2 linked regions of the Cricetulus griseus genome follow. The protein of the gene in region 1 binds, or shares a complex with, the protein of each later gene. Links are inferred from orthologs where the notes say so. Each region holds a gene or a part of one and is shown in the gene's direction. Other genes may lie near its edges. The genes, in order: Drc3 and Efcab2.

What was found.
Region 2: Drc3 (region 1) and Efcab2 share a complex: the UniProt entries of both Homo sapiens proteins name them as parts of the nexin-dynein regulatory complex. The link is inferred for Cricetulus griseus from reciprocal best matches to the Homo sapiens genes DRC3 and DRC8.

The regions. Positions count from the first base shown.
Region 1 is NC_048600.1:74,503,820-74,507,628, forward strand, and holds part of Drc3 (dynein regulatory complex subunit 3), read left to right. Parts: intron 1-1,083; coding exon 1,084-1,258; intron 1,259-3,809. UniProt on the Homo sapiens protein: Component of the nexin-dynein regulatory complex (N-DRC) a key regulator of ciliary/flagellar motility which maintains the alignment and integrity of the distal axoneme and regulates microtubule sliding in motile axonemes.
Region 2 is NC_048598.1:15,756,242-15,760,836, reverse strand, and holds the start of Efcab2 (dynein regulatory complex protein 8), read left to right. Parts: upstream 1-1,760; coding exon 1,761-1,791; coding exon of another isoform or gene 1,792-2,168; exon of another isoform or gene 2,169-2,679; intron 2,680-4,595. Other genes in the region: protein SOGA3, read right to left, coding at 1,584-2,168. UniProt on the Homo sapiens protein: Component of the nexin-dynein regulatory complex (N-DRC), a key regulator of ciliary/flagellar motility which maintains the alignment and integrity of the distal axoneme and regulates microtubule sliding in motile axonemes.

The DNA.
Region 1 (3,809 bases):
AGCAGTCATGGGGTACAGCTAGTCCTTTTCCTGGTTTGGACGTGTGAGAGTATGAAGCTGGCTGAGCCTGTTGATGGCTCCTATGTGAGAACCTCCATACACGGCCCTCCCAGCTCTGGTGAGCTGCTAAGGGCAGAGCCTAGACATCAGTGGCTGCATTGAACTTGACAACTTTTTCAGTGACTACCTACACAGAATACTCAACATTATGGAGAGACTGAGTGAAAAAGGGTGTCTACCTTGCTGGCCATTGTCTTCCTTAGGGACCCATGCTCTTGGCTTAAGCACTGGAAAGCTGTGGGATTTGTAGAAAGGCATCCAATCTCCTGAACACATCCCCACAGCATCCCCAAGACCCCATGGGTTTGCCTGTCCTGAGCCCCAGGTCTCTGCCAAGGAAGGATGCTTTTTGTTTTGTTTTGTTTTGTTTTGTGACAAGGTTTCACTGTTGTAGCCCTAACTGGCTTGGAACTCACTCACAGAAATCCCCTGCCTCTGGCCCCACCCAATTCTGGAATTGAAGGTGTGTGCCACCACTCCCAGCTTCTGAAGAATTCTTGTGGTGGCTTCCTCCATGCTGTTAGCTGAGGTAAAGATACTGAGGCCTAAAGAGGTAACTTGCTAGCATGGGTCCCAGGAGCAGCATTAGAGCCAGGAATTGAACTTAGACCACCTGGTTCCTCTCATAGCTCAGATGAGTTACAGGGCAGGCCCTCCCCAGAAGATTAAAAAAAAATCTTAATTTAACCAGATAACCAGAGATTAAAAAAAAAAAAAAAAAAAGGACTCCACCTCCTTCTCCTAGCCAGGCTGCTTCTAGCTCTCACCCACACCCCTAGTCCTCTAGAAGTCTCTTCTAAGGCCTTTAGCCATGTTCCCAAGTTCCTTAGGCACAGGTAGAGATGTCATAACCGAATTGCAAGCCCTGGTTCCCTGGCTTCTCTGTTTCTCCTTCTGTCCAAAAGGATCACCTGTACCCTCCATAGTTCTCAGCATGGTATGTCCTGCAAGGAACTGTCAACATTTTTGTCACAATCCTAGTGGCCTGCTCTTGAGCCCCAAGCTTCCTTAACAGCCACTTACCTACAAGGACAAATTTGTCATCATCTGCCTGAACATTTTTGAATATGGTTTGAAGCAGCAGGAGAAGCGAATGGCAGAGTTAGACACTTTCAATGAGTGCATTCAGGATGCTATCCGGGAGAACCAGGAACAGGGCAAGCTCAAGGTTACCAAGTTTGAGGAAAAGCATCTGCTGGTAAGTCCCCTTCTCCTGTGCCAGGCTGCCAGGACTCCCCTCACTGTGGAGGGGCTGCAATGTTCATGTCTTCCAGTGGCTCTGAGGCCCCAAGTCTCTGTCCATGTACCAGGGGTCACAGTTTCACCAAATGGCACCACACACAGCTCAACTAATCCAACACAGGGTATCTCCCTCACATCAGATACCCCTAGGATTCAAGCCACCCCACCCCCACTCATCATCATTAGTGTGAGATATACCATTAGGTAGTAATACCCATACTTTCTTCTGTTTGTTTATCTGTTCATTCATTCATTCATTCATTCATTCAGCAGCCATTTATTTTCCAAGCCTCACTCTGCCTGGCCCTGGCATGCTAGGGTTCTGATGTACATGCTTTCTGTCCTTGGCAGTTCCCACCTTGTAAGGCCTGGGCCCTGGGCCAAAGCCTTTCTTATCTGAGTGGCAGAGTGGTCAGGGTTGTCCTAGAGCTATAGAAAGGCTCACCTCCAGAGAAGAGCTAGGGAACTAAGGAGGTTCCTGGGGCTCTTCTGCCAGCAGCACCAGCAGGGATCAAGTCACGGTGCCTTGGGGTTTTAGTGGAGTGAGTGCTGCTCTGCACCCACTGAGTCCATTCCAATCTCAGCCTGCCTGCTCCTCACAAGCCTCTCATTTTAGCCCATCTTTGGTTTTGCTTGTCTAGCTCACTGCCATTCTTCCATTTTCTCTTTCTCTCCCCTATACGTTTTAAGGTATTACTTTATGATGGCTCTTTATAGGTTGAGCTAGTAGCCCTGTGTCTTCGAAGTAACTTGAGAGTACTTTTCCAAGTACTTTGCTATTTATCTTGACATTTGTCTATGTTGCTTTTGTCATGTGGAGTGTTTGTTTGTATAGTCAGGCAGTCTACTAAGCATATTATACCCCCAGCATATATATATATATATATATATATATATATATATATATATATGTTTTGTTTTTCGAGATGGGTTCTCTGTGTAGCTTTTGCCTGTCTTGAAACTCACTCTGTAGACCAGGCTAGCCTCAAAATCACAGAGCTCAGCCTGCCTCTGCCTCCCAAGTGCTGGGATTTAAGGTTTGCACCACCACTGGCATAAATTTTTAATAGAATAAAATTTACCAGTCTTCCTTCTGGTTGTTCTTGGAAAGTATTTCTCCGTTCTGAGAGTCTCCAGTAAAGGTCTTTCTTGTTGGACTGAGGATGTAGTTCAGTTGGTACAATGCTAGCATAGCATGAAATCCTGGGTTCTACCTTCAGTCCCACCAGTCCCACATAAATTCAAGTGTGGGGAAACACTCCTGGAAGGTAGAGGCAAGGGAATTAGCTTCAGCTACCTAGCAAGTTTTGAGACCAGCCAGAGCTATGTGAGACAATGTCTCAAAGGGAAAAAAAAATCTCCTGATTTTCTTCTTGCTTTTTTACATTTGTTTTTGCATTGGAACCTTCACTAGTCTTCAAGTAAGGGTTGTGGTAGGCATGAGCTGGGTCCTTCCCAGGCAGGAAAGTATCACACATGTCCTTTGTCCCACTAACCAGTATCATTGCTCCTTCCTGCTTCAGGGCTCATACTTTTAGTCACAAAACAAGGTTGCATTACACTGGTGCTGGTCACGTTACTGGGACCTTTGCTGATGAACAGGTTGCTCACCAGCCCACAAGACTGTCTCACTCAAAATGTTCAGCCTATTTTCCATAGACTTCCACTTGCTCCCTGGGGCTCTAAGGGGTTTCTGTCTGGTTTGCTCAAAGATTGGAACTGTTTTTGCTGTGGAGTGGATATAGTCTCATCTCATAAGGTGGCAAGATTGAGACGTGGTACCGGTAAGACGTGATTGGGGGTGTGGGGTGAGGGATGGCTCAGGAGGTAAAGACATTTGCTATGCAAGGCTGAAGACCTCAGTTCAATTGCTGGAAGCCATGCAGAGGTGAAAAGAGAAGACTGACTCCACAAAGTTGTCCTGATCTCCACATGCATGCACTCCCAATAACTCTTTTTTCATTTTAAAAGAAATGAATCGGTCGATAGAAAGGCCTGGCGCTTTTCCCTGTGTGGGACTGGGTTGCTGGCCAGTCAGAGGTGGGTTTTCTAAAGAAAACTCTGCTTTGCCAGCCCTCTCCTGTACCTCTTCTCCCCCACACATGACCTACTCAACATCTGTCACCTGACACTGGAGCTTGCACTCCAACATAATGCCATCTGATGTTGTGACGCAGCTAAAAGGCCCTTGAGAGAATCCAAACAGATGAGGCTAACCACACTTGTACTTTTAACCTTCCAGGCTGTCCTAAGGAAACTGATTTCTTTTGGTAGTGTGGGGACCAACCCACAACCTTGCCACTTAGGCAAGTGCTCTCCTGTGGAGCCAAATCCTCAGCCTGCACATTGTATTTCCCAAGCTGACCTGTATATGGGTACAGTACATAAAGCGGGCATAGTGAAGCAAGCCTGCAGAGGTAGAGACAAGAGGATCAGAGACAAAGGTCATCTTCAACTGCATAGCAAGTTCAAGGCCAGTCTTGAATACTTGAGACCTCCATCTCAAA
Region 2 (4,595 bases), on another chromosome or scaffold:
ACAATTTTTAAAATTATATCTGGAGTTCTAAGTATTCCTCAAAGCTGAAACAGGAGGATTGCTTGAGTCCTGGAATTTAAGAACAGCCTGGGCACGTAGAGAGAATGTCTCCTCTTACATCTAAAACAAAGATACAAACCACACACACACACACACACACACACACACACACACACACACACACACACACTTACATACACACACAGATAGATGCACGCTCACACACACAGACACATACTCACACTTTCTTTCTCACACACAGACACATATACACTCTTTCTCACATATAGACACAGACATACAAGACAATTTCCAGACAGAATGTCCCATTGTATAACACAACTTTATTCGCTAGAAACTTATGTGGTAGAAACAAATAAATAAAAGCACTATAAACCATTCCAAGAGCTTGTGGAACTATGGAACCACTGAGGAAGAGGTGGAGAAAGACTTAGGGAGCAGGCAACATTTAGGATCCTCTGCAATCAGGAATGGCCGGTTCTCTTTCTCCCCACACTTGCTTGGCCTGCTTTGAAGGTTCATTGCACTCTGTTTACAGAAGTTCAGTTAAGAAAAACCAGTAACACAAAATTAAATACAGCCTGGCGGTGTGCATGCCTTTAATCCCAGCACTCAGGAGCAGAGGCAGGCTGATCTCTGTTGAGTTCGAGATCAGCCTGGTCTACAAAAGCTAGTTCCAGGACAGCCTCCAAAGCCACACTGAGAGAAAGCCCGTCTCGAACCTCCCTTCCCCCTCCCCAAATTTAAATACTAATATCTTGCATTTTAAAAGCCTTAACATTTAGTTGTTATTTTTATAATAAATTTTTAAATGAGTACACATGCCCTGAAATATCATTAAGGATTAAAACTAGTTATTCATCTGAGCCACATTGTTAAAGACATTTTAATACTTTTTTTTTTAAAAAGAAAACATCCAAATATATCAAGCTTACCCATAAAATAACAAAACACTACAGCCAAGTTCCTCAGGAACATAGGATTCAAAACTCTCCCTGGAAGGTCACGCCAAACTGCACCATCAACCTATCAATGTGTGTAATACTGAGAACAGACCGGCAATTTATTCGTTGCTATGAGAACACTATTTTGTACCAGACATTGCAGCCTTGACGACGCAGTGTTTTGCGCCTATTTTGCACGTGTTTTCCTACAGCGAGCCCTCTCTCGCGATCCCGGAGAGAGGCCTGCTGGCTTCCTCCGGCAGCGGCCCACGTCCGTTTTCGCTCCAGTTTCCCTGGGCTGCGCAGTGGCTCCGCTTAGAGGGCGACCCAGGGGACGCACCGGGCCTGGCTGGCGGGCGAGCGGGAGGGAGGGCAGCGGGCGAGCGGCCTTACGGTTGTGAATGGGCCGGGGAGAAGCCGCGCTCTGCACGCGAGCTCTGCGCAAAAACAATACAAAACCAAACCGAAGCAGCAGAAACCGCAAATAAGTAAATAAATAAATAAGTAAATAAACAAATAAGCACACAAACGAGGCAGCCCCGTCCCCCGAGGGGGAGCGCGCAGCGCTTGAACTCTCAGGACGGTCACAAACAGGCCAAGGCGGGCTCCGGAACTTTATTAATAAACGACTCCCCTAGGCCGCAAGACCCCGGGGCTGGGCTGGGGGAGCGGAGCGGGCCCCGGGCGGAAGCGGGAGGACCCCCGCGCGCCGAGGGGCTCCCTCCCGCAGGCCGGGCTCGCGCGCCCCGCAGGGCTTGTGATGGGCATCTCCCAGGCGACGGGCTCCGCACCAAGATGGCGGAGGAGAAGGAACGGGAAGGCACAGGTAGGAACGCTGCCGGGGCCTCCATCTTGAGCCCCTCGGCGGCGCGGGGCGGCGCGGCGCGGCGGGCAGACGGGGGCCGAGGAGCGGCGCCAGCCCGCGTCCCCGCCGTCGGCTCCGCCCCGCGGCCCCTCCGCCCCGCCCGCCGCGCCCTCCCATCCCCCGGCTGAGGTCCGCGCGGGCTGCGGCCGTGGCAGCCGCAGGGGACCTTCATAATGGCGTCCTTGTTCCCGGGGCCTCCACGCCCGCCGCGCCCGGGACTGTGGGGACCCGGAGGCCGGCCTCACGGCGGACGCGAGCCGGCGCCGGAACCGGGCGGGAGCCTCTGCGGTCGCGCCGTAGCCACGCCCGGCCCGGCCCCAGGCGCCGGCCGCCTCCATGTTGCCTCCTCCGCCAGGCGGCAGAGCGAGGCCTCGAGGTCACACCGGGCCGTGCTCGCCCGGGTGTCGCCAGAACCTCGCTTAAAGGAAGAGATGCCCAAATAACCGCTTTATAATAAGAACGGAAAGGAAAACCCAGCCGGGGACCCGTCGGGGCCGCCCGGACCCGCCGGGTTCCCCGCGCGTGCTGGGGACCGACCGAGGCGGCTGCAGTGACCCGCGAGGCCTCCGGGGACCCCGAAAAGCGACGATCCGCGTTGAACTGCTAGACCCTTTGAGTTGGCTTCTAACCCAGCAGCGTGACTTAAAATCGGGTCCGTGGTTAGCGTCCAGTGACCCAACAGCAATTACACCACAATTGACCGAAATCACCGCTCCATAAATCAGTAAATAAATACATAAAGCAAGCCCTAAGATAGTAAAGGGCAAATATTCGTGGAGGGAAGGTCACGCTCCATCTTTGTTGCAGTTTTTTTGAGTTTTCACAACGCACCATATCGACCCTCCTCCACTCTCAGTTTGGAACAAAGTAGTTAACTAATATTTACATGAGGTGTTTAGTCCATCGTCATGGTGACCGCAGAAAAGCAGCAGGGAAACTGTGAGACTGCCAGAGATCTGTTTATTGATAACTGGAAATTGAGATTTATACATGATAAAATTAATCTCAGAAGCCGGGATTGTAGTACAGGTTTAACCCTATTAAGGTATTAAGGTTTTGTGTTACTGCTTTAGAAGTGAAAGGAACACTCTTAAGAAAAATGTCCATGTACTTTTTTTTTTTTTTTTTTTTTTTAAGAATATGATAGTTGTTGAGTAGGGGGGTAGGGAGGATCAGGGAGGTGAAAGAATATGACCAAAATAATATATGAAAAAAATTTTCACATAAAAAAGCTTTCCCTTTTATTTAATTAGATTCTTATTTACCCCCCCCCCAAAGAAAATAAAAGGGAAAAAGAACTATTAGGAGATAAATTACATTTTTTAAAAAAGACTTGCTTAGGGGAGCATTGGCATATACTGCCAGTTTTTACAATGCAAGAAAATATATTCTTTTATTTACCTTGTGCCCCTGATTGGTTTGTAGAACTCAGTGATGTGATTAAAGGAGTATGCCCAGTCTGATTTTTAGCCCTAGAGAGAGGGAGGGAGGGAAGGAGGGAGAGAGAGAGAGAGAGAGAGAGAGAGAGAGAGAGAGAGAGAGAGAGAGAGAGAGAGAGAGAGAAAGAGAATGAATTCCTGATTCTTTAGTTAACAAAGCATATTTTTCAGCTTAAAATACATTTAGAGGAAGAAACAGTTCTGTCTGCAACTGTACAAGTTAAGTAGTGGCTGTTGAAAGCTGAATTTCATATATATTAAAGTTCTTGTATATTTAATGCTTGTTTGATGGAAAGTTAGTATTAAACTGGAGAATTTTGAGAAGACCAAACCTGTGATTGTCCAACTGAAGCAAGCTCTATTAAATACTGACCAGGAAGGTGGAGACTAGCCAGGTCTGTATTCAGGATTCCCAGAGAAATGGTGCTGAAATCAGGTCAGTCAGGTGCCTATAAAGGCCAAACCCACAAGGCCACTGTACTTTCCACCTTTGGCCAATGGGGGCAAACATACACCCTGTCCTATTTCCTGCCTAGGTAAATCTCCAGCCTCTCTCTGATCAAACACATCCTGTGCAGATGGGGCAACCAACCTTGTTTATTGAAGTGAAAATATGTGACTTGTTATCTTACAAGGACAACAGCCCCCAGCATTCCAGGAAGTGTTCTGTCCTTGGGCAAGTGGGGCTTGCAGGTTAACTTTAGCCTTAGGTGAAGTCAGAACTTAAGTGACTAAGAAGATGAGGAAGGCATTGGCTTTGCCCTCTCTATGGCCTCATCAGTAAGGGAGATTAGAAACATAACAGCTGGAAAACATGCCAAGAGGAGCAATAGGAAGGAGCCAGGGCCAAGATAAGACACCCCCCCCCCAGGACACACCCCAGCATCCTTTTTCATTCAAGAGACCTTACCTTTTATAGTTCTGTTCAAAGTTTTGAATCTATAAATGGATTAGGTTAGTGCCCTCAAGATCCAGTTGTCCCTGGGAAAGCCCTGAGACACATTGAGAGGTGTGCTGTGTCTCTGTCCAGTAAAGTGGATAATTAAGATGAAGAATTGCTAAAATGGGCGTTGGTGGTGCACACCTTTAGTCCCAGCAGAGACTAAAGGCCTGTAGGAGGCAGAGGCAGTCAGATCTCTGTGAGTTCAAGGCCATCCTGGTCTACAGAATGAGTTCCAGGAAAGCCTCCAAAGCAATACAGAGAAACCCTGTCTGGGGAGGGGGGAGGGAGGGAAAAATTGCTTGGAAAAACCTTTCTATGTGGTTATGTATGTGTTGATGTAGTTATGCTTCTCTGTAGCTTATTTTGTGTTTGGACAGTGTAAT